3 linked regions of the Pelodiscus sinensis genome follow. The protein of the gene in region 1 interacts with the protein of each later gene in a biochemical or structural test. Links are inferred from orthologs where the notes say so. Each region holds a gene or a part of one and is shown on either strand. Other genes may lie near its edges. The genes, in order: LATS1, MINK1 and HTRA2.

Region 1 (10,651 bases):
AGAGCTAGGACCACCAAATTTGGTATGCAGCTCACTCTTATCCTAACTTAAAGCAAGGTCAGGATTTGGTTGCATCAAGAAAACAGAAGTGCTGGGAATGGGATTCTTTTCCATAACATGGAAAGGGAGGGGCATAATACTGAGAATAGCCACTAGGGGCAGCAAGTCTGCAGCGGAGAGCTGTACTTCAGAGACACTAAGGGCAGCTACAGCACAAAATGCTGGGCTCCGCCATCTTGCCTGCCTTCAAACCTACTGCCCCCCTTCCCTACCGCACAAATCTCACTCTCACCCCCCCCACACACACCTTCAGCCCTTCACTTCTATACCCCTCCCTGCCCCACCTGCCAACACACCACCAGGCCCCTGCCCTGCTGGGTAAGTCTTCTAGTTGAATATAAAAGTGGCCTAAAATGTTCCACCGTGACCACCCAAAAAAGTTTTTCTGCTTTTTTACCAGCTTAGAAATATTAATGTCAAATCTTCTTTGTCTAGTTTTGCCAGATTCTTTCCTTGGAAGACCCAGACACTGGAAAGGATACTCTCTTATCCCTGATAAGGGACAAGATGTAGATAATAGCCTGGTCTTATCAGACATTTGAGTTAAACTTGTTTAAGTATTTTTAAACAGTCTACATAATTACTTTCTCTCAATCCATTTTCATTCTTATGTCTGTTCTCTCTAGTCTCAGACCTCTAGTTGTTCACATTTTTAATATATAATCCTTTTTCATGCAATGGTGTAGTGTGCTCTTATGTTTTTCAGTAAACATGGCAGAAATCTTCAGGTATATAATTCCAGGGAGTGTTGAGTATATATAATATATTACAAGATGCTACATGTCTGAATATAAATTGTTAAAAAAAAATCCATCCCTGTAAAATATCTATTAGAAAAATAGTATAGGATTATCTCATTTAAATTGTAATGCATATAGAGATAAGGGTACCTAACTAGCTTCCCTTTGTAACCTTAACTCTTAATTTGGGAAATGTAAATCTTCACTGCAACTTTAACATTAAAAATACTTCAAAAATGCAAAAGTTTAATAAATAGTTTAAAATATGATAATGCAGCAAGTGTGCCATGAGTTATTAAAACAACTGTTTAAAATTATTCTTAAGCAAACAGATTTTTGTTCTTTAGTTTTATTACTTATTGCTTTTAATGTATGAAATGTGACTGCAGTGTTTGAATACACACACATCCCAAAGAAAAGTGAAGGCAAAGGTAACTTACTGCCAGTTCTAAGCTTGACTTTTTTTTGCTTACCAACATAATGGAAAACAAGTTTTTCTGCATCCAAGTGATTACAGTAAAAGCTCTAAAGAATAATTGGCTACAAAAGTGAACATGTAGTTACATTTTAAGGTACTAAAAAATAACTCACTATCATCCAGGAATAAGGTATTTGGGAGTGTAAACTTATCCAAGACCCTGAACAAAATTATCTGATGGCTCAGGAGGGCTAGTAATAAGAGAACATTTAGGTTATTAATTCAAAGTTGAAATTTATAGCACCCAGAAATAATTACTATCAGATCACTACTATGTAAGCTACTTAAAATCCCATTTGTCAATTTACACTGTGATAGAAAATCACTACAAATTCATTACTGATTTAAGTGTTTTCCCAGGAATTTCCCCCCTTGAGGAATTTTCCCCTATCTATAAAATGGAGATAATTATACTTACTCTGTAAACTGTTTTGAGATCCTCAGAAGACAAATGCTATGTACTAAATGTTGCATACAATTTAATGTTTTCTTGGTGGTCTTAGCAAGACAGACTAAAGACCAATGAGCTTGAAAACTGCATTGCTTTGAAACCAAATTGAACTGGTTCCTCAACTGAGATTGTACCAGTAGAACAGTGGTGGGCAAAAAGGCCTCCACGGGCCAGATCCAGCTGCCAAGTGGGTGGATCAGGCCCGCAGAGGACCTGATGCTCCCCCCGCCCCCAGGCCAATTAGGGCAGCAGCAGTCAAAAAATCTAACCATCTTAGGAAACATAAGGGAAGAGTCAGAAAATAAGACAGAAAATATTATAATGCCATTATATACCCAGTCCTTTGACACGGCATGCAATTCTTGTTGCTCCATCTCAAAACAGTAGTATTAGAATTGGAAAAAGTATAGCTTAGAGTAACAACAATTAAGATGGGTATGGAACAGCTTACATATGAGGAAAGATTAAAGAAACTGCATCTGTTTAGCTTAGAAGTCATATGATAATGGAAAAAACACAATCTGTATAGAGAAAGCGAAGTAGCATTATTTATCCCTTCACATAACACTAGAACCAGTGGTCACCCAATGAAAGTAATAGGCACCAGGTTTTAAACAATCATAAGAAAGTACTTCTTCACACCAAGCAATCAACCTATGGAACTCATTGCCAGGGATGTTGAGTTGATCAAAAACATAACTGAATTAAAAAAATAATTACATAAATTCATGGAGATTAAGTTTGTCATTTGCTTTTAGCAATCAGGGACAATCCCCACACTCTGTCTCCCTATGCCTTTGACTGCCAGAATCTGGGCCTGGATGATAAGGGATCAATTGGTAGTTGTTCTGTTCATTTCCTCTGAAACATCTAATAGTTGCTGGTACCAGAAGGCAGGATACTGGGCTAGATGAAACATTAAGCTGAATCTATATAGCCTTTCTTATGCTCTAAAATATTGGTACAAGACAGTCACTGATCCTGCAGCTCAGCGTTGTACTTGGTACAAGACAGTCACTGATCCTGCAGCTCAGCGTTGTACTTTATTTTTCAACCTATATACAAAAATTCAGAGCAGCATGAATACCATCTGCTCAAGTATTAGATTCTCCCTTATCTGTGACATCTAGATGCTTAGAGATGGAAATTAGACTGATGTGTGAACATTAATCAAATTTAAATCATTAAAATGGTGAGATGCTCATGAGATACCCACAGACAAATTAAACTAGGTTTCACTTAAATGAAAGTATGCTAACCAACCTAGTTTCTTATAACTATTTGACTGCAGATGTCAGTGCCGATAACAGCTAAAGAGGCCATAAGGGAGCATTATGTTCAGGGAATGATCTCTCATCCAGGGTAGTCTCCTCAGTATGTTGCCATCCCATCCCTACAGTCCTCAACAGTGAATAGATCTGGGTCTCGAATCACTCACACACACGATTTCAATTACTCCGCTCCCTCCTCCCCATATTTATTTTGGGTGAACAAGGAGAAACGCTTCAAAATTTAATCCAGGGTTCAAATATATAACAAATCCAGCTGCAGAGACCGACTGCAGACCCCTGCACCCACCCCAGGAAACAAAGTGGATTCTCGTCGGTGCTGCCCAGCCCCTGCCCAGCTAAGGCGAGGCGCTGGGGCAGCACACGGGGAATCCGCGGCGAGAGGAATCCCCCCCCGGGGCAAAGCGCTGTGCCGGGGCGAGGGAAGCGGGCTGGGCAGGGAGGCACAGCTGGGCACGGAGCTGCAGACAGGGAACCCCCTTGCGGGAGGCGGGGTCGCACAGCGGCGGGGCCTGGCTTCCGCGGGGAGAGTGGGGGGCGGGGAAGGGCTGGTATTGTCTCCGCTCACTCGGGGGCAGCGCCGCTCACCTCCCCCCACACCCGCCCCGGGCCCAGAGGCGGCGAAGTCGCGTCAATCTGCGCAGCCCAGTAGGGCCTCGCCTCCGCCGGGCACGGGGTGCCCCAGGCCGCGCTCCCCTCCCGCGGCAGCCGGACCTACCTGCGGGGACAAGGCAGCGGCGGCGGCGTCGCCCCGGGCCCACGCGTGTGGCGGGGAGCGGCGCGCTGCGTGTGGCGCTGGGCTCCGCCCGCGGGGCGGCGGCTGGGCCGTTCGGGTCCCCGGGGCTGGTAGCAGCTCGTCCCCTCCCCCACCCCCCGTGGGGCTCAGTTCCGGGCCGCCATGTTCTCGGTGGGTCTGGCGCAGAGGGCTTCCCGGATATGGGCCGTTCCCGGCATCCTTTGCGCGTATCCCCTGCGGCTCCCCCCGCCCCTCCGGATTGGAATGTGAGCATCTCCGAGTCAGCGTGCCGGGCCCGGCTCTACGCGGGAGGGAGGGAGGGGGGGGGGGCAGGCAATGGGCCGCGCCCCCCTCCCTCCTGCTGTGGCAGCGGCGAGTAGTGCACCCTCCCCCCCCCCCCAACCAGGAACCTATGGACTAATCCGCCTGTAGGATTGGTTGGGTGGCTGATGCCCTCCCAGATTCCCTACGCGAGTCTCAGTCACCGGGAGCTCGCAAGTTCCAGCCGCGCTGCAGCCTTCTCAGCAATGGGCTCCCCGGCTCCGGCAGCTGCCTGCCATTGCCACACAACACTGACATCCCGCTACGGGCCAGGCCCCGCGCGGTTCCTTTGCCTTCGCTTCTATCGGCCCAGGGCTGGCAGGGAGCGGGCTCCGACCCAAGCTAATTCTATGTCACTTGTTCCAGGGAGTATGAAATTGGCCATGCATCTGTACATCCCTCACCTGGTTAATTTATCTGCCACTGGCAGCATGAAGGCAGACCGGCATGTGGTGGATTCAACAAGTCTTTAGTTAATGAGATGTGAAATACTATGCAATTTTGTCACAAGCTTGCTCTACTTTCCTAACTGCCAATACTGACCGCGGCAGCATGGTACAGAACTGTTAAATATGGTCAGCTAAAATGTTATCCGGGTTATTTATTAGAAAAAGGCATGGACAGGACCCAGGACTGTAATAAAAAATTCATAGCAACCATGACCTGTAATATACAGATCCTTACATTTAACAGTGAATTTTATGGGATGTGATATAATATACTAGCAGCACAGCATCTATTAATTGGATGCCTTAGATCAGGGGTCGGCAACATTTTCAAAACCAAAAGCCAAACTACATCAAAATTCAAAACACAGAGTCAACAAACAGCTGTATAAGAATGCCCATTTGCATGACTGAAAATATGCAACTTAATATTGACATGATTAACAGTAGCATAAATTAAATATTGTACTCACAGACTTTAATGGGACTTTTTGCTGCATTTTTGTGCACATTTCTCTGATGTTTTTATCGAAATTGGTCAAATCCAGCTTTATGCATGCATTCAGGCTGTCATCTGTCAACCTTATGGCAGGGGTTGGGGAGGTGCAGGAGTTTGGGGATGTACAGGGAATAAGGGGCTCAGGGGAAGAAGTTCATGTGTATGATGGGCTGTGAGGGTTGGGATGTGTGGGGGAAGGGGAGGGAGATGAGGATGTTAAATTGCAGTTGTAGCTAATCGTGTAATTCATACAATTTATATCAATTACATGATTAGTTAATAAGGGGCAGTCTACAGAGCCACAGCAGGGGTAGCTCCAGGAGCCAGCACTGAGCAGTCCCAGGTCATGCCAACTCCAGAAGCCACCCACCCTGCGGCTTTGCATTTTAAACGTAAGCAGGACCACTGGGCTCTTACTACATTTAAAATGCAGAGGCAGTGTCCCAGACCAACACAAGTCCAGCAGCCCCTATCGATGAGGGGGCCCAGCTCACAGCTGGGACCACCATGGACAGAGGCTGCTACCAGAACAGCCTCCCTTATCTCCCCCCTCTGCTTCTAATAGAGGCAGGGGAGGGGGCAGGCAGCACCCTAGACATGGTGCTGGGGAAAAATCAGCCTTTAAGCCAGCTGGCTCACCCAGCACCAGCTCTTGGTCCCTCCCTTGCTGCCTCTACAGAGAGGGAGTAAGTAGTCAATACTCCACTCAACTACCCAATAAGCTTGTACTTAGCAGCCATAATTATAGACAATGTTGAAACCATTTTGTTGGACATAATATTTTCCTTCATTTAAAAATGAAGCCTGGCCAAAAAGCCTCCAATTGGGGTCCAGCCCCCATTTGGCCACAGCATCATAACACTCCTGCCCTGGGAACATTAGCAAGTAGTCAGCTAGTCAACTACCCAATAAACTTATGGTTTCATGCACTCGAGTGAAATATTGACTACTCATTTCCTCCTCCCTACCACTGCCTCTTGGAGATAGGTTGTTCCCTTTTCAACCTAGCTCAGACGGGAGAGACTTTTGAAGGCGCAAGAATCTTCATAACCGTGTACAAAAAATAAAATCAAGGTCTCCCAAGAGGTTAAAAACTCTGAATACAAATAAAGATATAGGAAATAAGGCCTTATCACAAAAAAAAAATATATCCAAGAGCAAGCTGCCTAGATCTTCAAAAAGCTGCATCACCTCATTTGGCATAGTAGTGGCATATTTTATCTAACTTCTGAAGAAAAATGAGCATGTTGCATCATTTTGTACAAATACAAAGTAGTGATTTTGAACACAAATTTGAGCTTAGCTTGTGAAGTTTGTTTTCTTGCAAAAACCCTTCAATAGAATTATTTGCAATTCACTAAATGTTATCTGCTACGAAGTTAGAGTAGCCTTGTAAGTTAATGGTGTATGTAACTTAACATTTAACGTATAATATTAAATAAGACACTCAAAATACATTTATCATAGATCATTCAGTCACTTTCACTTTACTGTATTCAGAAAGGGAAACAGATGTAAAGATCCTTGGAAAAGTGGCTGTACCAAGTCAGTAATATCCATAGGTTCTAATTTTGGTGACATGCAACTACAGCTGACCTCTGGCTACCACTGCAATGACCACTTTCTGGGCCCAAGTTACAAAAAAATCCATTTCTCCCCTCCCTGACAGTAATCTAAATCTCACCTCCCAAAACCCGTGAGAATTCTCCTTTAGCCCCTCTTTCCCTGCACAGTGATACTTCCCTTTATTATGAATGGTAAGACTATTTAGGTGAGAATTATTTTTTTGGGGGGGAGGGAAGAGGAGAAAGCAGAGGTGTTGATGGTTCAGTCTACTACTGGTGGAAAATAGGTTGAACCATAGAAAATGAACTTCATCACTGCAATGCACAGGAAGAGAGCAGCCTTTTAAGTTGCTATTAGGCATATTTTTTTTTTACAGTAATCTGCAAAATAATTATGAAGTATCTAATAATTCAAAAATACATGAAAAAGGAACTATGACAAGTTTAAAAAAAAAAGCAGTTTGGCCTTCTTAACCTTAGAAATACCTGAAACGTGAAATCTGGTTTTTAGAGGACCAGCAGGAAGCGTTAAATTACTATGAGCACTGACCATCTTAATTGAAGGGCCTAGGGTGTTAAGTCTAAGACTTCTATTCAAACTCATTTAAGTTCATTTTTTCTCTTGTGTAAAACTTGTTTAAGAGTTTTGAAAGGCAATTAGAAAATTCTTCTCCTTTTTTGCTGATATTCTTTTCACTATTTCTCCAGGTATCAGAGCATTCCAGCTTAGACAAGACTTGAATTCCCATTTTAAGAAAACCTAGCAAAATTTAAAAAACAAACAACAAAATGGTCTGGTAGCACTTTATAGACTAACAAAACATGTCGATGGTATCATGAGCTTTCGTGGGCACAGCCCACTTCTTCAGATGAGCAGAGTTTGAAGAAATGGGCTGTGCCCACGAAAGCTCATGATACCATCGACATGTTTTGTTAGTCTATAAAGTGCTACCAGACCATTTGTTGTTCTTTCCTGTACAGATTAACTTGGCTACCCCCGAAGCTAGCAAAATTAAGACATCTCTCCATCTCCATCCCTAACCCCATCTTTCAGCACTTCTTACGTGAAACAGAAAAACAAAACATATCTTCCTCCACCCGCTTTTCTGTAGGTTACCTTTAAAGAACAGAAAAATAACGTGCCGTACAGTTCTGAAAGTCAATCTTTCCTATGCATTCTACAAATGTCCAATTATTTAATATAAACATGTTTTAAAGTGTTTTAAAGTTTCCTGTCAAAACCTGCAAATGGTCAAAAGGACAGCTGTTTTAATTATAATTGAGGCATTTTATTTAAGTGGTGCACTCTCTCTTCTATTATGCAGAATACTCTCCAGTTTTCCTGTGGTTATTTGGTGGCAGAGAAGCTTATGCTTACACTATGATCTCTATCTTGATCCTAGATCTGTAGTCATGTCCCCAGTTGGGATTTACAAAGACTGATAGCAGACATAGTCTATCTACAAATCATTTCAACGTGTACAAGTGCATCTTTTACAGGTAAACTGCAATAGTACATATTATCCTTTACAATAGGGGAGAATGTATAAATTAGGGGTTTGCACGAGTATATAGCTACAATGATGTACATATACTGGTACAAAAAGAAATACAGAGTATAGATGGAACCCAACCTTCAAGAATTTTCACCACTTCGAGGTAGCTGTTCCTAACAAGTGCATGTAATGAGTCACACATAGAAGTATCAGTTGACAAATCAACCGTCATGATATACAGTGAGCCTGAATGCTAGAAAGAGCTAATGTTTTACTGTCTAACACTTGTATTCCACACAGTCATCTTTCTTCATAGAGCTCAAACTATGTTACAAAAGGTAAATAAAATCGATTGGCCTTATTTTATAAATAATAAAACAAACAGAGATATTACTTGCCCATACCAAATCACAGGCAGAACTATGAAGTACGGTCTTCTAATTCTTAGTTTTATCCTGTCAAGCAGTTCACCTTGATTTATAAAATTACTCTTTTTAGAAATAAAGTTGCATAGAAGGGTGACTGTCCCAGAGCCACAAGGCAAATCAGCAGAATAGAAGTCAGAATGTATGACTGTCCTATAGTTTTACCTCTGGACAATATCATAGGCTTTATAACTTTACAGCTATGTAATCACTCAAACGGTGAATTGTGTTGCTGAAAAGCTAGCTATTCATCATTTGCCCGGATGAAGATATTCCAATATACCTATGGACTGATAGGACAACAGAATTAGGAGGTGGCTTTACACCCCTGAGAACTCAAGCTATTCAGGCCCAATCACACATGCTAATCTGTACCAGTGGACCCTTGTTCCAGTGTAGAACCATATTGTGGGGCCTTAAAGTGCACATGCTGCATATTAAGATCAACTTCAGATGGAAACTAATTCCATTACCAGAGTAGCAACGAGAAACCTCTGAAGGCAAGTGAAAACAAGGTTGCTTGAGAGAAGCATTATGAAGAGTTGTGGAAGCAAAGCTAAAAAACTTGGGCACAGGCAGGGAAAATATTACAAGACTTGCCAGAAATAAACAAGAATGGAGGAGCTTCATTGCTGTCCTAAGGGCCAGAAGTGTAATGGGAACATAATCTATCAGTTAACTGCAATGACACTGAACTAAACCTATAAAATGGCCAAATTTAGCTTATTATAAAAAGTCAAAGATAAACAATAAGAATGAGTAAATAGAATTCTGGTGGAAAAACACACATTTATTAAAAACATTGCAGAAAGGGTTCCTTGTTATAAAAGCTAGACATAAGTTATTCATGTGTTAGGCACTTTTATGAGAGTTTTGTTTGGCAACACTTAGATTTAGTAATCCATCAATTTTGAGAAAACTCATGACTGAAGCTTTGTCAAGAATGCTTTATTATCTGAACTTGACCATAACAGGATAATGCTTGTCAGATGTCTGTCTGTCTAGCACCAATAAAGACTAACTTATAAACATAATTTTTCTACAGATCAAAAGTGTATAGGCATAATGTCTATATCAAACGTTAACCTGCCCTTACCAGTGCTATTAGCATTGTCTTAGATTATTACAGCTCCAAGATTTTTAGATTTATGGGACTTAACTATCCACCATTTAAACAATCTTTTCTGCATTCCATTAAATTCAATTTCCCCTTCTAGTTGACATGCAGCAGCATAACAATTGCATGGGAATGTTTAGATATAAAAATGTCAAGTTAAAAGTAATAATATTTCTATTAGGTTGTCTTTAAAAGAACCTAAGTTTTGGCCCTGAACAAAATACTTGAGTATTATTACAATAGCATGAACATTAACAGAGTTCAAGTATTTCACACTTTTAAGCTACTGTAACACCCTTATAACACTATATTTAAAATACCATTTATTTCACTACTGATTGTTTTTATGCTTGCCAAGTAAGAAGTGCAAAAGGCAGTTGGGAATAAAGAACGTTGTACTTAATAATGTATGCTAACTGTTGTTTCATTCACTGGATGCATAAGCATCTATGGTGATGGAAAAGTTCTCAAGAGCCTTATGTAGGTTGTCCCTCTGAACTACTAGGACTACGTTATAGGCCCTTGTGTTACCAGGCTTTATTTTTTTAAAAAAACCTGGAATACTTAGGACCTTTCCTACTAGTTTTTGAGGTGGTTAAACTCAAGAGTGTCCTTTAAAGTATATTCAAGAAAAGAGGTGCCTATTAACATAAATAGCTTCTGAATCAGTACCACATACTAGACAGGGTCCTAAAACATCCAAAGTATTCACGGATAACGTCTGATTTGGAACTAAATTGGTGATCTCCATGCGGTCTTTGGTAGGATTGTTGTTTAGCCAGGCACTTATTACAGACTGGTTAGCCGTGTGAGACAGAACTGTAATACTTCTTCCACCTTAAAAACAAAACAAAACCACACAAACAAAATAGGTTAGCTTTAATTTTGATTTATTTAGTCTCTGTATTGAGGTAGCATATTAAGCATCCAACCAAAATATTGGGAATACCAATCTAAGGCTAAGTTCCAGATTGAATTGATTTGATGGGTTTAGTTGAGTCTCCAGGGCTATGTCTAGACTGCAAGCC
Region 2 (9,982 bases), on another chromosome or scaffold:
CCCTTGCATGTCACTTTTGTAATACCGGTAGGAAAAAAATCTATGCGGACAGGAATCAGTGGCAACCCTGCACATGGGCAACAGTAAACAAAATGTCTTGTGGGCCAAACATAGAAACTTGATGGGTCATATGTGGTCCATGGGCTGCAGGTTGCCCACCACAGGACTAGATGGACCCATCTCACCTTGGAATCTATGACTCTAGCACTGCTCAGAGAAGGCCTTTAGACACAATCCCCCCAGCACCGTGTCTGCACTAAGGCTCTAAACAGTGCCACTTCCTGCTTAGTAGTAACTATAGGAAAGATTTCCTGGTGCAGATTAAGTAGTCCTTCCAGTCAAGGCAGCCAGACAGCTCCCAAGCCAGATTGGGTCACAGGCATTAGCCTCACACACATGGGTCACAGGCATTAGCCTCACACACACACGACACACCCACCCCTCCTTCAATCCTAAGCAGCAAAGCCCAGGAGAATGCCCTCATCCCACATTGATACGGACAGACCCACCACATGGCAGGTTTGGGGTTAGTTTTCAACTCATATGCCTTTTTTAACACTTGGTGCATTCCAGCCAAATGACCATTCCACTCAGACCAAGTAAGCCAAACAAAGACCTTCTACTGGCAGGGCTTAAGCGAGACCTTTTGGGAAAACCTGAGAAGGGAGCTGATGGCTATGATACTGTGTCCAGTACTAGCATCCCCCCTTTAAAAAAAAAAGAAAGATGAAAGATGGGAGAGGGCTCAGAAAAGAACTACAAAAAAGATTCAAGGGCTGGCAAACACACCTCACAAAGCAACTCAATGTATCCATCTTAGCAAAGACATTAATCCTGGTCTGTAAGTACCTGCATGGGGAGCAAATAGCTGAAAGCTAAAGCCTCGCCAATTCCCATTCAAAAATCAGGCATATGCATCCATAGCATGGGTGTTTAACCATTGAAACAAGTGCCAAAGGGCAAGCCTTCCCATCCAGACTGGAGCCTCTCAAAGACACTTTAGCCCAGCTCAATTCTTGAGCTCAATGCAGGGGGAGGTGGGTGAAATTATCTTGCCTGTAAGGTACTAGATTATCTAATAGTCTCTTCTAGCCTTCATCTATGCAACTGGGCAAAAGTAAGGTTGACAATATTTCACGATTGTGGGACGAACAGATTTTGTGCTTAGGTTGCCAGTTAGCAAACGCTGATGCATATCAGGGCTTTCCTTCAGAAATGCACCATGCCCAACCCCTGCGCTTCCAATCAGATAATGAATGTATCACTTCCTGTCCTAAACTACTATGCACAACTGCCAGACCAAGAGTCCATTCAGCCCAGAGGAGGTAAAACAAACCAAGAGTTTCACTCTCCCTTTGCTTTTTAATCCACACTATTACCCATGTCAAATGTCTGATTGTTTAAATCCCATTAAGTTCTTGGACTCTTGTGGCACAAAGTTCCACATGCTTTTTCAATGCAGTGCACAGCGTATCTCCTTTGGTTGCTTTTAAATGTGCTGACTTCCATTTTCATTCCCCAGCCTCTACGAACAAGATGATTTCTGGTGCCTTTTGTTTGGCAGGGGCACAGCACCTAGCCCAGCCCCAGGTGTTAAGGCTAAAGGATCCATCAGACCCCTAATTAACACCCAGAGAGCACAAGTCAGAGAATTCTACAAAGCTACCCCTTTGAGCCCAAAGCTTTGTGCTGGGCTAATGTGGTTTAACCAGATGCCATCAAGAGATGGAGACTAGACAATTTGGGCCAATGGTTAATCACTCACACTGTACAAAACCCGCATTAATGTGTCTGGCTTCATCTGCCAGGCAGTGGGTTCTTGTGCTGCTCCTGATAGGTTAAAGAGCACACTTTGGTACTGAATATCTTCTCTTTGTGAAGATACACTGTGCTCAGTGGAGACCATCAATGCTAGCCACATATGAATAAATAACGCAAGGAGGGTTTGGGGATCCTTTGGGAAGAAGAGAAAGACTGAAGCCAGCTGAGAAGTTCTAGCCACCCACCAGCAATGACAACTGCACAGAGGCGGTGTTACGAAACCTCCCTGTGCTAGTTTGTCTGAGAGAGAGACAGCAGCTCAGTATGGTTTGAAACGAGATGTAATCACATTCTGAAGCTTGGCTCACGGTGCTGTTCTGCTGATGGAGGCGAGAATTCACAGCACAGGCCAACCTGCAGCAGACACTTCGGGTTTTTTCCTATTAAACGCAATTATAAACCGATTCCTGTAAAAAAAGAATGCTGTGCCAGGGACTTCAGGACAGCTGATGATTTATATCAGCACAATGGTTATGGGAGAGGTCTAGTTAAACTGGTACAAAGGCAGTGTTGCCTTGGATAGAGCATTGGGAGACCTATTCCCAGCTCCGACACTCATCAGTTAGTGCCCTCTGATAAGCCACATACTCACTCTGCCTCAGTTTCCCCACCTGTAAAATGAGGATGTGATACTGATCTACTTTGAGGTCAACTGATGAAAAGCATTAGACATCACTGTGACAAGTGATAATACCGGTACAACTACAGCAACCTCCCACTTGGCACGCTACACCTGCACCACTGTAGTGCTTCTGCATGGACACTACCTATACTGATGGGAGGGGTTCTCCTGGTCAAGGGCATGAGTACTCCATTTCAGAAACTCTGCTCTGTACATTACACAGAAATCCCTGGCATGCTGGGCTAATCTTTATTCACCAGCTCGCCTCAACCAGGAGCAGAGCTTTGCACTGCCAAGCTTTTGCAGCAAGGACCTAAAGAACTACCGCTCATTAGTGCTAACGGAGCCCGGTAGGGTGAGGGGGGGCTCTGAATCACCCAGGTGCTGGCAGCATTGCAGGGCTGGTGAGGGGGTTACCACTAGCCCAGTGCTACAGAGGTTAATACTCCAAGACAGGGCCGGTTACTGAACACTAGAGAATCAGATTTGTGTTCTAGCAGATTAATGGGGGTCAGGACAGGGCATAATCCATGTCCAAGTGCCACCATGCATGCTCTGTTGCAAACCACTGCAACAACAGCTCCCTGCTTTGCCACCAGAGCCAGCTACCTACATGTTTACTTTCTGCACTGGCCCTCCCAGCCCCACCACTGCGCACCTGAGTAAGCAGAGTCTAAACAGGGGAGAAGAGAACAGAGTAATGCAGTAATATGCATGTGGAAGAGCCAGTGAGATCATGGCAGAGATGGGGCAATGGGGTAATCCATGGTGACACTAGTGGGGAGGAAAGCAAAGGGGAAGAACATGAAGTCAAGTTAGCAGTGGCGATGCTGTGTGTGTGGATGAGGGGACAGAGTAAAGGCAGGACAGCAAATCAGGGTCACTGCAGTGGTGCTGGGGGTGGGGAGCAGGGAATCAGGGTCACTGTAGCGATGGAGAAAAGCGAGAGAAATGGGGAATCAGGTTCGTTGCAGTGAAGCTGGGGGGGGGGACACAATAAGAGTGTGTGGGGGAACAGTGAGCCAGAGTAAATGTAATGACAGCGAGAGGTGTGGAGAATGGCAAGTCCTGGCCACTGCAGTGATGCCGGGGTAGACAACTGGGTGGGGCGGCGGCAGGGGGCAATCGTAACAACAGTGATACTGGGGCAGACAGCAGGGGGAACAGGGATAACAGCAGTGACACTGGGATGGATAGTCGGGGGGGCCGGGAACGGAGAGCTGGGATAACAGCAGTGATGCTGGGACAGACAAATGTGGGGGAGAGCTAGGGTAAGAGCAACAACAGTGGGGCAGACAGCAGAGGAGGGAATGGAGAGTGGGGGTAACAGCAGCAATGCCAGAACAGACAGGGGGAGGGAATGGGGAGCTGGAATAACAGTAGTGATGTGTGTGTGTGTGTGGGGGGGGTGACTAGAAGCCAAGGTAACAACAGCAATGCCAATGGGAGGGCATGATGGGGAGCTGGGGTAACAACAGCGACTGGGGTAGGGAAGGATATTGGGCAGACACTGAACTGGGCTGCTGTAGCAGCCATGGAGAGTGTGGTTGGCATGCCCTAGAAGTGGCCCCCACAACTATCCCACGGGAAGTGCACGTGGATCCCCCTGGTTGGCGTCTCCTGGCACAACAGCTCCTCTTGGGGGAACCCAAGCCCCCCCGGCCTAGGGACAACGAGGAGAGTACAGCAGAGATGGCGGGGCCCTTGCAGCTCCCACAACAGGGCTCATTTAGCCCTAACACCTTCCCCACAATAGGGCCCCGAACAGGCACGTCCCCCGTTAACCTCCGCGCAGCAGGGCACGGGGGTCTGTGCCCCAGCGCAGGGAGGCCTCTTTCCCCAAAGGGGCCTATCCGAGGGGCCCCTCCCCCACAGGAGGCGGGGGCAGTCCCCTACCTGTAGCCCCCCACAAGTCACGCCCCTCTGACCTTTGACTCCGTTGCCAGGGCCGCTGACCTTTGCCCTCCGCGACACAGCCACACCCGCTTACCCTGAGAGCTGAGAGGTCGATGTCATCCAGGCTGCGAGCAGGAGCCGGGTCGGCCATGTCCGGGGCGGGCGGGGCCTGGCCGGAGGCTCACTGCAGCCCCATGGATCCGGCGCTGGGATCCGCGCAGCCGCCTCGCACCAGCAGCCCCAGGAACCGCACTGCGCATGCGCCAGCGCACTGGGCGGGAGCGCCTGCGGCCTGGGAACGTAAGGCGGAAGATGAAGCTAGAACGCGCAAGCGGTGTGGGAAGAAGGTTCGGCGCATTCGCATTCCTGGGAGTGAGGCGAAAGAGCGCGTCTTTCCCTCCCCTCAATGCGCAGGCGCAATCTAGGAAAGAGGCAGGACCGCGCGTGCGCGAAGCATAAGCCGGGCGGCAGGAAGGGTGGGGTGGTTGAGCGCGTGCAAGGAGGATGTTCCCGCCTTTCTCCGTGTTCCTCGAGGAAGGGGCCTCGGGCCAGAGCAGGGAGGGTGGAATACATGGGCGGGGCCTGTTCCTGAGGGTGGCGGGCCAATGAGCAAAGCAGGGAGGAGCCTGTTCCTTGTTGGGTGGGGGCTCGCTCAGAGCAGGGAGGGGCTGGCCCACCATCTCCGGGCTGCATTGCTCTGCTTGGCTGCCACTAGTCCTTGTCACTGGGGGAGCAAAGCAGCCGGGTCACTGCTCCCGCCCCCAACCTTGCTGGCCTCATAGCTTGGGGCAGGAGGCTCTGGAAGAGGTGCAGTGCCATGGCCCCAAACCCGGTGCAGCTGAGGGGAACTTGTACTGCATCTTCCCCCACCCCTTACAGTTTGGGGCGGGCTCCTGCATGCACTAACCCACCAGTGGAGATGGAGATGGAGGAGGGTCAGGCTTGGAGCAGAGAGGCAGGGAGGAGGCTCCAGCTGCCGGTGGCAGGCGTAGTAGGAGCACATGAGCTGAGGGATGGGGGGGGGGGGGCAGAATGGGATTACATTGGCACCTCCATAGCATGGTGCCCATGGGCAGATGATCCATCTGGCCCCCCTCGCTACGCCACTGCCCCCTCTCCTGCAGATAGATCTGCAGATAGATGATAGGTCATCTTATGCATGTGCAAGATCTGTGAGAGCCGTCCCATGAATCTGCAGCTAGTGTCTGAGGGGCCTGCTTCTGGGTGATGTCTCAATGCTACCACATTTACCCCCAAAGAGGGGGGGCTTCGCAAAGCAGGCCCTTGCTGCTGACTCCCAAGGCATCCACAGATCCAGTCTCCTTTCAATGGGCCCACTTCCCAGGACTCATTGATCTTGGATTTGGCTTCCAGCCCCTCTCCAACCTTTGCAACTGCCCAAAGGTGCTCATCTTCCACCTTATACAATCCCACCTCATTCACCCCACAGGGACGGTCTCTGCTTCACTTGTCCTAGGGACTATTCTACCAAGACATAATACAAAGTTTCCATGTAAAAGGACTCAATACAAAGCTAAAAACTTCAATGAGAGAATGATTAATATAGAAACGTGTCTACATCTGCTGCAGGGAGACACCTCTGCCTGCCTCCACCTCTCTCCCCCAGAGCCTACAGCCCCATTGCAAAGCAGGCGAGGGAAAGGAAAGAAGCTGAGGCCCATTCAATGGGACTGAAGCAGTCATGAGAAAGCCATGCCCAGGAGCCATTCTCCTGTCCATTGCTGGTGCTGTGTTGCTTCAGGCATGCTGAAATGCAGTCACCTCTAGGGTGGGTTGGACAGCTGTTTAACACCTGCACAAGGTTTCAGGCAGGGGGCAGTGCGGGCTGCCTCCCTGCAGAGCTCCCATCAGAACCATTGTGCCCTCCTGGTTTAGGAAAAAAATAAACAGGAGGACTATGTCTAAACTGGCATGATTTTCCACAAATGCTTTTAATGGAAAAGTTTCTCCACTTTTTGTGGAAAAGTGTCCGTGCCAATCTAGATGTGGTTTTGCGCAAGAAAGCCCCCAATCGTCATTTTCGCCATCGGGGCTTTTTTGGGCAAAACAGTTTTTACCTGTCTACACTGGCCCTCTTGTGCAAAAGCATTTGCGCAAGAGGGCTTTTTCCCGAGCGGGAGCAGCATAGTATATGCGCAAGAACACTGACAATCTTACATTAGATCGTCAGTGTTCTTGTGCAAATTCAAGAGGCCAGTGTAGATAGCTGGCAAGTTTTTCCACAAAAGCGGGTGCTTTTGCAGAAAAACTTGCCAGTCTAGATGCAGCCAAGGATTGGAAATTAACCCACCCAGTCTCACGTCCCCTAGGCAGGGAATGAGCTATCAGGGGGTATGTCTACACTACAGCACTAATTCGAACTAAGCTAATTCGAACTAGCGCATCTCGACTTAAAAACTAGTTCAAATTAGCGTTTTGCTAATTCAAACTAGCATGTCCACACAGAGTGGACCCTGAACAGAGGTTAAGGATGGCCGGAAGCAGTGCCAGCAGGGCATCAGATGAGGACTTAGAGCGTGGAGCTGCTGTCTCAGGCTAGCCAAGGGCTGTGCTTAAAGGGACCCGACCCCCACCCCGGACAGACAGTTCTCAGGGTTCCCCACTTGCAAAGCAGTCCTGGCTTGGAGTGCCCTGAGTGCCCACACACGGAACATCACAGCACTCAGCCATCAGCCCGGCTGCACTTGCCACAGGCTGCCATCCGGGGGGAGGGGGCAATTAGGGGGCTGCAGGAGAACTTCCACCCCAAGAAGCCCGCAGAGCCAGCCCAGTCCTCCCCATCGGGGGCGCGTACCCCATTCCTCCCTCACCTCCTTCCACTTACCCTTCCCTAGCCCCCCTTCCTGATGTACAAAATAAAGAAAACGTGTGTTCAAAAATAGAATCTCTCTTTATTGAACAAAACTGGGAGAGACTGGGAAAAAGAGGTGGGAGAGGGGAAGAGAAAGGCTGGGAGAGGGGAGGGCAACTAAAATGATCAGGGGTTTGGAACAGGTCCCATATGAAGAGAGGCTAAAGAGACTGGGACTTTTCAGCTTAGAGAAGAGGAGACGGAGGGGGGATATGATAGAGGTCTAAAAGCAAGAGTGGTGTGGAGAGGGTACATAAAGAATAGTTTTCCATTAGTTCCCATAATAGAAGGACTAGAGGACACCAAAGGAAAGGAATGGGTAGCAGGCTTCAAACTAGTAACAGAAAGTTGTTCTTCACAAAGCAAAGAGTCAACCTGTGGAACTCCTTGCTGCAGGAGGCTGTGAAGGCTAGAACTAGAACAGAGTTTAAAGAGAAGTTAGATAAAGTCATGGGCTACGTCTACACTGGCCCCTTTTCCGGAAGGGGCATGTAAATTTCACTAGTCGTCGTAGGGAAATCCGCGGGGGATTTAAATATCCCCCGCGGCATTTAAATAAAAATGTCCGCCGCTTTTTTCCGGCTTTTAAGTAGGAATAAGACCCTCCGGAAAAGGGCACTTTTTCCGGAGGATCGGGGCCAGTCTAGACGCTCTTTTCCGGCTTTTTTAAAAGCCGGAAAAAAGCGGCGGACATTTTTATTTAAATGCCGCGGGGGATATTTAAATCCCCCGCGGATTTCCCTACGACGACTAGTGAAATTTACATGCCCCTTCCGGAAAAGGGGCCAGTGTAGACGTAGCCATGGAGGTTGGGTCCATGGAGTGGTATTAGCCAGGGGGTAGAAATGGTGTCCCTTCCCAAAGTTTGTGGAAGGCTGGAGATGGATGGCACGAGACAAATGGCTTGGTCACTGTCTTTGGTCCATCCCCTCCAGGGTACCTAGGGTTGGCCACTGTTGGCAGACAGGCTACTGGACTAGATGGACCTTTGGTCTGACCCAGTACGGCCATTCTAAGCTCAGGGCTCAGGGTCGGGGGTCTCAGTGGACCACCTTGATTTTCATGCAAACCTGCTCCTGGGTGGCCAGGCTGGCAGCTCTCCTGCCCTAGACGGCCACTTTCCTATGCCTAGTGCGGAGTTCGTGGACGAGGTCCACAATGTCTGCACTATACCAGGCAGGTGCCCGCCTCTTGCAGTCCTGGCCAGGCTCCCGAGAGCCGCCAGCCTGGTCCCAGGAAGAGGCGGAGGGCTGGGGGGCATCGGGTGGCTGGCTCATGGCGTGCCAGGTGCAGGGTCTGCTGGCTGGGTGCTGGCAGGCTTGCACCTGGCACGGGCACCGTAGTCAGCCCGTGCCCCTTTAAGGGCTCCGGGGCCGGGAGGGGGGCATACGACTTTCCTGGTGGTGCCCAGAGTGGCCACCAGGGAAAGCTGGGGAGGGCTAGTCTCCCACTAGTTCGAATTAAGGGGCTACACAGCCCTGAATTCGAACTAGTAAGTTCGAACTATGCTTAGTCCTCATGCAATGAGGTTTACCTAGTTCGAACTAAGCGCTCCGCTAGTTCAAATTAAGTTCGAACTAGCAGAGCGCTAGTGTAGCGCCTATCAAAGTTAATTCGAACTAACATCCGTTAGTTCAAATTAACTTTGTAGTGTAGACATACCCTACATTAGGCTCCAGCTGGAGTATCGTGTCCAGTTCTGGGCACCACATTTCTGGAAACGTGGAGAAAGTCCAGAGAAGATCAACACAAATGATGAAAGGTCTAGAGAATATGAGCTATGAGGCAAGGCTGAAGGAATTGGCCTTGTTTACCTTGGAAAAGAGAAGACCGAAAAGGGACATGAGAGCAGCTTTCAAGTATCTAAAAGAGTATCATATGGAGGAGGAAGAAAAATTGTTCTCCTTGGCCTCTGAGGTTAGGATGAGAAGCAATGGGCTTAAATTGCAGCAAGAGAGGTTTAGGTTGGACATTAGGAAAAACTTCCTGCCTGTCAGGGTGGTTAAACACTGGGATAAATTGCCTAGGGACATTGCAGAATCTCCATCACTGGAGATATTTAAGACCAGGTTAGACAGACACCTTTCAGGGATGAGCTAGGGCAACTCAACTTTGGAAGCCTCAGGGGCCACACTGATACTTACAGAACATGCTGAGGGCTGCAACTTAAGTCTGGTTGCATATGCAAGCAAATATATACAAATAGCTTCTCTTACACTGACAGGAATGAATGTAAAGATTAAGGCAAGACTATACAACACACAGGCCCCATTTAAGTCAGTTCTGCTGATATTAAAATGCAACATTTACCTGATTTCTACCCATGTGACAGCACTTTTCATGAGCAATGACAGTCCAAGAATTTACCTACTAAAATGCATATCAACAGAAGATCATTACACTGACTACTTTTTTGTTTTGGCTCCCACTCGCTGGCCACATGTTGATCCCCACATAAACCCAAACATGACCCACAGGCCATGTGTTAAGTAGCCCTGGGTGCTTGGTCCTGCTGTGAGGGCAGGGGACTGGACTTGATGACCTCTTGAGGTCCTTTCCAGCTGTAGTGTTCCATACTGCCTGCATGGGGTTAGATGGAGGCTGGTGCCCCCTAGAAGGGACAGATCCCCAGAGCCCATCCATACCTTCATGAGCCAGCCTGTGCCCCCAGCCCTGGGACTGAACCAGAGCCAGTGCCCCCTAGAGATGCCCTGTAGCCTCCTGAGCACCAATGAGATTTTGGTGCCAGGGCCCTCCCTCAAGTGGATCCC
Region 3 (9,763 bases), on another chromosome or scaffold:
ATTATATTGCTGCCATATTAACAGAAGCATCAGAGAAGAAAACTTGTCTGTGCTTCATGCATAAGTCTCAACCTCAGCTCAGCTCCTTGCGTGACCATGTGGTCCCTCAGGGCTCATCTATACTTATGGGAAGATCGACGCTCTGGAGGTTAATCTTCCTGGGTTCTATTTAGCGGGGTCTAGTAAGGACCCACTGACTCCATCTCTGATGGCACTGCCCTCAACCCTGGTACTCCACAGGGTCTTGACGAGTGAAGGCAGTTGACAGGAGAAACTCTCCCACTGACCTCCCACTGTGTGAACACTGAAGAAATTTGATTTAAAGCAGTAGTCCCCAACCTTTTGGAGCTGCCGGGCGCCCGGAGGCGGGGCCACCCATGCATCTGGGACTGGTGCTGCGCATGCAGGGCCGGCCCTGAGCACTTGGCGGGCGCATGTAAATGTCCCGGCGGGTGCCATGGCGCCCGCGGGCACCACGTTGGGGACCACTGATTTAAGGTATTTTGACTCCAGCTATGCGATTCTTGTAGCTGTAGTTGTGCATCTTAAATTCAATGCATCCCGTAGTATAGACCTGGACTCGGAGAATAACTTCCTGCACTTCCTGAACTTGTGGGTGTTATGACAGTAAGCATATTAAAATTGGCAGGATGCTAAAGTACTAATGACGGGAGCCAGAAAAAAGGCCTTGCCTAGACAGGCCAATCGTTACTAATATTACCACTGGAACATAAGAGATGTGAGAGAGGCAAAGACAACGTCAGTGAAGTGCCATGGGAGGAAGCCGAGAAGTGAGTGTGAGATGGCAGGAAAGAACCCCAAAGCAGAGCAGTAGACCACAAGGCACAAAGTAACAGCAATATTAATGCTCTAGCTATGACCTCCCCCGCCCTCCGCCCCAAGCTGTACAGGCCCATCATGGGATACAGGATCTTTGCCCCACACCTCTAGACTCACCACGGCAATTAAGGGCCTCTGAACTTGCAGGGCCACTGGTTGAATCACATCCAGAATTGAGAATGGCCAGGAGCTGGAAAGAAAACATCCCAGAGATTAACAAGGGCCACAGAGATGAGCTAAGGCTGTCCCCGGGAAAGTCCCCCATCACCACTACCTGAAGCGAAGAAGGCCAACTCGGCCATTAGTGGCTGCCTCCTCCGGGAACAGCAGCAGAGGTGGATTCCCCCGATGGGAAGAATACATCTTCAGGGAATCCACCAGCTCTGCCCGGCTCCCTACTGCCCCCAGCTCCATGAATCCCCGTGACCAACAGATGAAACCTGGTGTGCCATTCAAAGCAGGCTGTAAAAAAAAAGAGCACATACAAATCAGTGATCCTCACTCAGCCTCCCTCAAGAGACTCTACCCAGCGGGTTGATTTGGGTCCTAGCGTCCCAAAAGCTCCTTCCTTCCCCTCCCTGGACAGCACAGGAGCAGCTGGGTGTCCTCCAAACAGCTCTCAGTTATGAATGGGAGATGGGGGGCCTTGTTACAAGATTGGTTGTACCATCCTTCTCCCCACCAACACAAGTCTGTTGCTTTTCAGGACTGTTTGAAAGACCCTTATCACACAGCATCACACACTGCTTCCTAGGCAGGTGCAGATAGCTCTCTGCACTCACAGGAAACAGCCAGCACCCGGGGAAAGCCCCAAGCCCAACTGTGCTTCTGCTTATATCTATTTAAAGAGCCAGGAGGGTGAGGCAGAAGTGACAAGTTTGCTTGGATGGCTTGGTTCATTGCCTGTCCTTAACCTGAACCAACCAGAACCTAATAGCACAATACACAAGCCTAAAGAGACACTCAAGGCTTGTTCAATTATTTGTTAAAAACAAACCAAGGAGCCATTCCCAAATCCCTGAATAGGGAATTCTACCAAGGGAGGTGTATAAGGGTGTAGCCCAAGATCCTCGCATAACTCACGGTATTGCATGGGGTCAGCAGGTTGATGACACTGTGGTCGAAGTAAGTCACATGGTTGGCAATATAAACCCTGATGCTGGCATCCCGGAGATTGGGGTCACTTTGCCGCACAAACAGACCCAACACCGAGCACATCACACGCACGATAAACCTGATAACAGGAGCAGAGGCCCCCATCATGACCAGAACTGCTGACAAGTGAATAAAGACTAGGCTGTACAAGCACTATGGAATGAAGCCCGAGGGGCACCAGAAACGTGTCACGTGGAGAGACAGGGTGAGTGGAAGGAAGCTCAGGGCTGCATTTGTAGGGACACTGGTGGAGCTGTGTAGGGAGCGCTCAGGATTGGAATAGTGAGGGAGTGGTGTCAGGTGTACTTGCTGGCAATTTGCCTTGTCTCTCTCAGCCCTGCAGTTTGCACTTGGACAAGAGAAACACATTGTCCGGCAGGTCCTGGAATCACCAGCAAAGGAGCTTAGGGCTAATGAGGACAAAAGGCACGAACACAGAGCATCCACAAATATGAAGTGTACCCCTATCAGCCAGCCCCAAGAAGCCAGGGGTACGGAGCTCCCACTCCATTGACAGCAGAGGGGGACCCCACAGGACAACTTTACATACAGGTAGGAGATGGCTACTCACTGGATTTGGGGATGGAAAGCTCACAAGAGCCCCACGCTCACCCTCACCTGCGGAGCAGACTGTCTGGCAGAGCACAACTGACCAGGAAGACGTGGACGCCGATGAACAGGCGCAGGAGGAGCAGACAGAGTCCCACGGGCGCATAGAGCAGCAGAGCCAGCAGCAGGAAGCCATCGCTGGGGAACCTGAGGGGGAAAGAGGGTTCAGGTCAAAGTCCACTGCCAGGTGCTAACTGATCCACTGCCCACCTCCCGCTGCTCCCAGGTGCCCGTGCCCTGCCCCCCCGGAGAGCGAGACCCCCCCCCGATCCGCCCGCCCCCCCCGGAGAGCGAGACCCCCCCCATCCGCCCGCCCCCCCCAGGAGAGCGAGACCCCCCGATCCGCCCGCCCCCCGCGGAGAGCGAGACCCCCCCGATCCGCCCGCCCCCCCCCAGGAGAGCGAGACCCCCCCGATCCGCCCGCCCCCCCCGGAGAGCGAGCCCCCCCGATCCGCCCGCCCCCCCCAGGAGAGCGAGACCCCCCGATCCGCCCGCCCCCCCCAGGAGAGCGAGACCCCCCCGATCCGCCCGCCCCCCCCCAGGAGAGCGAGACCCCCCCGATCCGCCCGCCCCCCCCCAGGAGAGCGAGACCCCCCCGATCCGCCCGCCCCCCCCGGAGAGCGAGCCCCCCCGATCCGCCCGCCCCCCCCAGGAGAGCGAGACCCCCCCAATCCGCCCGCCCCCCCCCGAGAGCGAGCCCCCCCGATCCGCCCGCCCCCCCCAGAGAGCGAGCCCCCCCCGATCCGCCCGCCCCCCCCAGAGAGCGAGCCCCCCCCGATCCTCCAGCCCCCCCCAGGAGAGCGAGACCCCCCCGATCCGCCCGCCCCCCCCCGAGAGCGAGACCCCCCCGATCCGCCCGCCCCCCCCAGAGAGCGAGCCCCCCCGATCCGCCCGCCCCCCCCAGAGAGCGAGCCCCCCCCGATCCGCCCGCCCCCCCAGGAGAGCGAGCCCCCCCGATCCTCCCGCCCCCCCCGGAGAGCGAGCCCCCCCGATCCGCCCGCCCCCCCCCAGGAGAGCGAGACCCCCCCGATCCGCCCGCCCCCCCCGGAGAGCGAGCCCCCCCGATCCGCCCGCCCCCCCCAGGAGAGCGAGACCCCCCCAATCCGCCCGCCCCCCCCCGAGAGCGAGCCCCCCCGATCCGCCCGCCCCCCCCAGAGAGCGAGCCCCCCCCGATCCGCCCGCCCCCCCCAGGAGAGCGAGCCCCCCCGATCCTCCCGCCCCCCCCAGGAGAGCGAGCCCCCCCGATCCTCCAGCCCCCCCCAGGAGAGCGAGACCCCCCCGATCCGCCCGCCCCCCCCCCCGAGAGCGAGACCCCCCCGATCCGCCCGCCCCCCCCAGAGAGCGAGCCCGCCCGCCCCCCCCAGAGAGCGAGCCCCCCCCGATCCGCCCGCCCCCCCAGGAGAGCGAGCCCCCCCGATCCTCCCGCCCCCCCCAGGAGAGCGAGCCCCCCCGATCCTCCCGCCCCCCCCAGGAGAGCGAGCCCCCCCGATCCGCCCGCCCCCCCCAGGCTCTCACCGGTGCGCGTCGAAGAGCCGCTCAGGGCTCGAGGCGGGAGGAGGCTCCATCCCGGTCCCGAGCCACCGCCTCAGCGAGGCCCAGGACCCGCCGCCATCTTACCCACGGCGGCGCCCTGCGCGCGGGGCCCTCTGGGAAAGGGAACCCGCGTGCGCCAGAACGAGCCTCCCGGCATGCCCCGCGCGGCTCCCTGCCTCTCCCGGCCTGCCCCGCGCGGCGCGTCCAGCGTCTCCCGGCCTGCCCCGCGCGGCTCCCTGCCTCTCCCGGCCTGCCCCGCGCGGCGCTTCCAGCGTCTCCCGACCTGCCCCGCGCGGCGCGTCCAGCGTCTCCCGGCCTGCCCCGCGCGGCTCCCTGCCTCTCCCGGCCTGCCCCGCGCGGCGCGTCCAGCGTCTCCCGGCCTGCCCCGCGCGGCTCCCTGCCTCTCCCGGCCTGCCCCGCGCGGCGCGTCCAGCGTCTCCCGGCCTGCCCCGCGCGGCTCCCTGCCTCTCCCGACCTGCCCCGCGCGGCGCGTCCAGCGTCTCCCGGCCTGCCCCGCGCGGCTCCCTGCCTCTCCCGACCTGCCCCGCGCGGCGCGTCCAGCGTCTCCCGGCCTGCCCCGCGCGGCTCCCTGCCTCTCCCGGCCTGCCCCGCGCGGCTGAGCATGGCGGCGGCCCGGGCGCTGTGGCTGCGCGCGGCCTGGCGGGGGCCGGCCCGGGCCCTGGGGGCCGCTCCCTGCGCGGGCCGGGGGGAGCCGCGGCCGCCCCCTCGCGCGGGCCGGGCCCGCTGGGCGCTGGCGGGGGCGGGGGCGGGGGCGCTGCTGCTGCTGCTCTGGGGCCGGGAGCCGCCCGCGCTGCTGCCCCGGGTGCGCGCCGCCGTGCCCGCCCCCCCCGCGCCGCCCGCCCCCCCCGCGCCGGGCCCCGGCTCCGCCCGCGCCGCCTTCAACTTCATCGCCGACGTGGTGCAGAAAACCGCCCCCGCGCTGGTCTACATCGAGATCCTGGGCAGGTACCGCCCCCCCCGGGACCCCCCCGGAACCCCCCCGCCCCCCTGGACCCCCCCGCACTGGTCTACATCGAGATCCTTGGCAGGTACCGCCCCCCCCGGGACCCCCCCGCCCCCCCGGGACCCCCCCCGCACTGGTCTACATCGAGATCCTTGGCAGGTACCGCCCCCCCCGGGACCCCCCCGCCCCCCCGGGACCCCCCCCGCACTGGTCTACATCGAGATCCTTGGCAGGTACCGCCCCCCCCGGGACCCCCCCGCCCCCCCCGGACCCCCCCGCGCTGGTCTACATCGAGATCCTTGGCAGGTACCGCCCCCCCCGGGACCCCCCCGCCCCCCCCGGGACCCCCCCCGCGCTGGTCTACATCGAGATCCTGGGCAGGTACCGCCCCCCCCGGGACCCCCCCCGCGCTGGTCTACATCGAGATCCTGGGCAGGTACCGCCCCCCCCCCCCCGGGACCCCCCCCCCGCGCTGGTCTACATCGAGATCCTGGGCAGGTACCGCCCCCCCCCCCGGGACCCCCCCGCCCCCCCGGGACCCCCCCCGCGCTGGTCTACATCGAGATCCTGGGCAGGTACCGCCCCCCCCCTGGACCCCCCTGCGCTGGTCTACATCGAGATCCTGGGCAGTACCCGCCCCCCTGGAACTCCCCTGTCCCCCGGGACTCCCCTCCTGACCCCCCTGGTACCGCGCCTGCGGTGGTCTACATCGAAGTTTTGGGCATGTACCCCCCCCCGAACCCCTATGCTGGTCTACATCGAGATCCTGGGCAGGTACCGCCTCCCCGGGACCCCCCCGCCCCCCCGGGACCCTCCCGCGCTGGTCTACATCGAGATCCTGGGCAGGTACCGCCCACCCCCCCCCCCGGGACCCCCTCCGCCCCCCCGGAACTCCTCCGCGCTGGTCTACATCGAGATCCTGGGCAGGTACCGCCCCCCCCGGGACCCCCCCGCCCCCCCGGGACCGCCCCACGCTGGTCTACATCGAGATCCTGGGCAGGTACCGCCCCCCCCGGGACCCCCCCGCCCCCCCGGGACCGCCCCACGCTGGTCTACATCGAGATCCTGGGCAGGTACCGCCCCCCCCGGGACCCCCCCGCCTCCCCGGGACCCCCCCGTGCTGGTCTACATCAAGATCCTGGGCAGGTACCGCCCCCCCCGCCCCCCCGGGACCACCCCCGCCCCCCCGGGACCCCCCCGCGCTGGTCTACATCGAGATCCTGGGCAGGTACCCGCCCCCCCGGGATCCCCCCGCCCCCCCGGGACCCCCCCGCGCTGGTCTACATCGAGATCCTGGGCAGGTACCCGCCCCCCTGGAACTCCCCTGTCCCCTGGGACCACCCCCACCCCCGGGACTCCCCTCCTGACCCCCCTGGTACCGTGCCTGCGGTGGTCTACATCGAAGTTCTGGGCATGTACCCCCCCCCCCCCCCCCCGAACCCCCATGCTGGTCTACATCGAGATCCTGGGCAGGTACCCCCCACGCTCTCCTGGACCCTCCTGGCCCAGCTGGTACCACCGCCTCCCAGTATTGCCCCAGTGCTGGTCTACATGGAGATCCTGGGCAGCTACTGCCCGACCTGCTCTCCCCGCCCCGCAGCATCGCCTGGCTTCAACCTGCTCCCAGTACTGCCCCTTGTGAATCTGACCTGCCACTTACCCCTTCCTGCCCTTGTACCATCTCTCCTCTCACCTTGTTCTCTCCTCTTCCAGAGAAACTTTCCCCATTCTTCAAATCTGCTTCCCCTCCTCTCCCCTCCCCGCCCCACCCATACTGACCCCCAAGTGTTTCCCTAAGTATGTGTCATTTGATTGGCTGCATAGAAACCCCTGCTGCTGTGTTTGTGTGTATCACTCTTGGGTCGGGTGCTCTCTAGTAAGGATGTAAAATCCACTTAATTAGTTAACCAGTTGAATGTTAAGGGGAGCTAGTTATCTGATTAAACAGTGGTAGGGGAATTTCCATCCACTAGTCCTTAGGCACTTCCGCATTTCTCCTTTGAAATGGACAAAAGCCCCAGTGGGGACTCTTGTGCATTTCAAAGTTGGAACTCTGCATGCAGCCGAGGGCCAGCAGGACTTCCCCTTGGTCCCAAGTGTGCCAGCTTTGGAATGTACAAGAGTCCTCAGCTGACCACGGGATCCATGCGGCGCTGCCCCTTTGAAATGCCTCGACGCTGCCACTTTAAAGTGCCCCCTCTTCCCTTCCCCTTTGCTGCTGCTTCTATCTGATAGAGGCAGCAAGCAGAGGAGTGACTAGTCGACTCGACTGTCTGATTAGCATTTGCTTATTGGATAGTTGATGACTGCTCAACGTTTCCCTCTACTCTCTTCTAGTCAGTCCCTGGCAAGGAACGATTCAGTTGCGCCGCCGTGCGCGCTCGTGCTCATGTATGTCAAAATCCTGGGTGGGCATTGAACCGTCTAGCCCGGGGTGGGCAATAACTTTAATGAGGGTCGCGGGTCGCTCTGGAAGGGGAGGCCCTTTAAATAGCAGGAGGCGAAAGGGCTCGCAGCTCCCAGGACTTGTGAGCCCTTTCAACTGCTTCTATTTAAAGAGCTCGCACCTTCCCTGTGGCTGCAGACAACGCGTTGCCTGCCAGGATAGGGAAGGTGCAAGCCCTTTAAATAGAAGCAGTTGAAAGGACTCCTGCATCTCCAACTCCCAAGCAACGCGCTAGGAGGTGGGGCCTGGAACTGCTGTCCGGGCCTGATTCAGCCTGCCAAGAGGCTTTTGTCCACCCCGATCTAAACTGTTGTCTGCCTGGAGGAAACCTGTCCCTGCCCTAGTCTGTCTAGAGATGTCTCTCACCCCTAGCAGAGAGCCATGGGAGGGGCCTGTCTCCTATGCTGGTGCTCAGGTGAGCAGAGGTGTGTGTTCTGGCAGGAGGAGAGATTGCTGATAGGAAGGAGGGGAGCCAGTGCCTTGAAGAAAGGGGCTTGCGGATTTCTGTGGTGGTTTCTGCCCCCCATCCACACTGACTGGCTTTTCCAAAAGCTACCTCTGGTTCTTGTCCTGTAGGCATCCCTTTTCAGGCCGGGAGGTGCCCATCTCCAATGGCTCTGGCTTTGTGGTGTCCCCAGATGGTCTCATCGTGACTAATGCCCACGTTGTGGCGAATCGGCGGCGGGTGCGGGTGAAGCTGGCTAGCGGGGAGCTCTACGATGCCGTGGTCCGTGAAGTCGACCAGGTGGCAGATATTGCCACCATCAAAATCAACCCCAAGGTGTGTGGGGGCCAGGAACGTTTCACGGGACTAGCCCCTGCATTGGCTGCCTGCAGGTCTCTTGATAGAGCTGTGCTGACCCGTGCTTTCTCTTCCCCCCAGCAACCTCTGCCCACGCTGCCCCTGGGCCGCTCCGCAGAGGTGCGGCAAGGAGAGTTTGTGGTGGCTATGGGCAGCCCTTTTGCTCTGCAGAACACCATCACCTCCGGCATTGTCAGCTCTGCTCAGCGAGGCAGCCAGGAGCTGGGCCTGGCCGATTCCAACATGGAGTACATCCAGACCGACGCTGCCATAGATGTAAGGGGAGTGTGGGGCGGGGGAGGGCAGTGGGGGCACTGGCTGAACCCCACAGTTTGTGCATTTAGAAGAATTTTGCTGCTAGTTGGGGTGGGAGCTGGGGAAGGGGTCTGCATGAGGGGAGTGTTCAGGCTGTCCCTTGTAGGAAGAGCAGGGAAGCAGGGGATCTGGATTCTGCCCCAGGGCCATTGGTTGTGTTTGCTGCCTGTGTAAGCCAGAGGCACTGAGAGGGAGCCTGAGTCTGCACAGCAAAGGCTTCAGTCTCCCGCTCAGTGCCTCTGGCTTACGCTGACCACCCTGGTTCTCGGATTTTGTCTCTGCTGCTGCTGTGGCTTAACTCTGCCCCTTTCTCTCCTGCTGCAGTTCGGGAACTCGGGGGGGCCCCTCGTCAATCTGGTAAGTCCTGCTGTTTGGGTGTCTTCCCTTTTTGGGGGGAACACAGTGCCCCTTTGGGCTGCGTGCTCCAGCCCTGGCTAACTGGCTGTGTGGAAGTCGGGATGCCCACCTCTTGCTGCCAGCAGGGAGTATAGAGATGTCTATTCATCTCCCAGGCTCTGCTCTGGCGTGACCGAGGTAACAGCACTGGGGTCTGCACTGCTGCCTGACCCATCCCAAGCCAAGTTGGTGTTGGGTGCAAACTGGTGGAAGCCTGAATAGGCTGGGCTTGAGCCCTTCCTGACACCATGTCCCTCCTCTCCTTGCATGGGGCAGATTGTGGGGCATGGGGGGCTGCAGTGTGACAGGCTGATGCCCTTCTTGGCTTGCATGGCAACTCTCTTCCGGCAGGACGGCGAGGTGATTGGGGTGAACACAATGAAGGTGACGTCAGGTATCTCCTTCGCCATCCCCTCAGACCGGCTGCGGGAATTCTTGCAGAAGGGGGAGCAGCGCAAGAGTGAGTGAACTGGGAAGGGAGGGGGAGGATACAGGCAGAAAGAATGGAGCAGAGCTGGGGAAGAGGGGGAGGAGCACCCACTTCAGACTTCTTGCTGGTGCTGTCATAGTCCTCTGTCCCTGCCAGGGGAACTGGGCCTCAGCCTCCTCCCAGCACATCAGAGTCCAAGGAAAACCTGGTCCACTGTGCGGTCATTCCGTGGACTGTCTTCAGTTCCCTTCCACTGCAGGCTGGTTCCCCCTT

Evidence for each region.
Region 2: of the proteins of LATS1 (region 1) and MINK1, one has a biochemical effect on the other in vitro, tested with the Homo sapiens proteins (2 studies listed by BioGRID). The link is inferred for Pelodiscus sinensis from reciprocal best matches to the Homo sapiens genes LATS1 and MINK1.
Region 3: the proteins of LATS1 (region 1) and HTRA2 form a complex in vitro, tested with the Homo sapiens proteins (2 studies listed by BioGRID, with this or other methods). The link is inferred for Pelodiscus sinensis from reciprocal best matches to the Homo sapiens genes LATS1 and HTRA2.

Annotation. Positions count from the first base shown.
Region 1 is NC_134713.1:106,439,534-106,450,184, forward strand, and holds the start of LATS1 (serine/threonine-protein kinase LATS1), read right to left. Parts: upstream 3,973-10,651; 5' UTR 3,737-3,972; intron 1-3,736. Other genes in the region: nucleoporin Nup43, read right to left, coding at 10,249-10,460. UniProt on the Homo sapiens protein: Negative regulator of YAP1 in the Hippo signaling pathway that plays a pivotal role in organ size control and tumor suppression by restricting proliferation and promoting apoptosis.
Region 2 is NC_134734.1:8,341,521-8,351,502, reverse strand, and holds the start of MINK1 (misshapen-like kinase 1), read right to left. Parts: upstream 4,760-9,982; 5' UTR 4,491-4,759; coding exon 4,434-4,490; intron 1-4,433. UniProt on the Homo sapiens protein: Serine/threonine kinase which acts as a negative regulator of Ras-related Rap2-mediated signal transduction to control neuronal structure and AMPA receptor trafficking.
Region 3 is NW_027465889.1:424,610-434,372, reverse strand, and holds the start of HTRA2 (serine protease HTRA2, mitochondrial), read left to right. Parts: upstream 1-4,759; coding exon 4,760-5,103; intron 5,104-8,123; coding exon 8,124-8,328; intron 8,329-8,430; coding exon 8,431-8,625; intron 8,626-8,988; coding exon 8,989-9,021; intron 9,022-9,411; coding exon 9,412-9,520; intron 9,521-9,763. Other genes in the region: lipid droplet-regulating VLDL assembly factor AUP1, read right to left, coding at 958-1,030, 1,115-1,302, 1,924-2,074, 2,614-2,751, 4,120-4,169.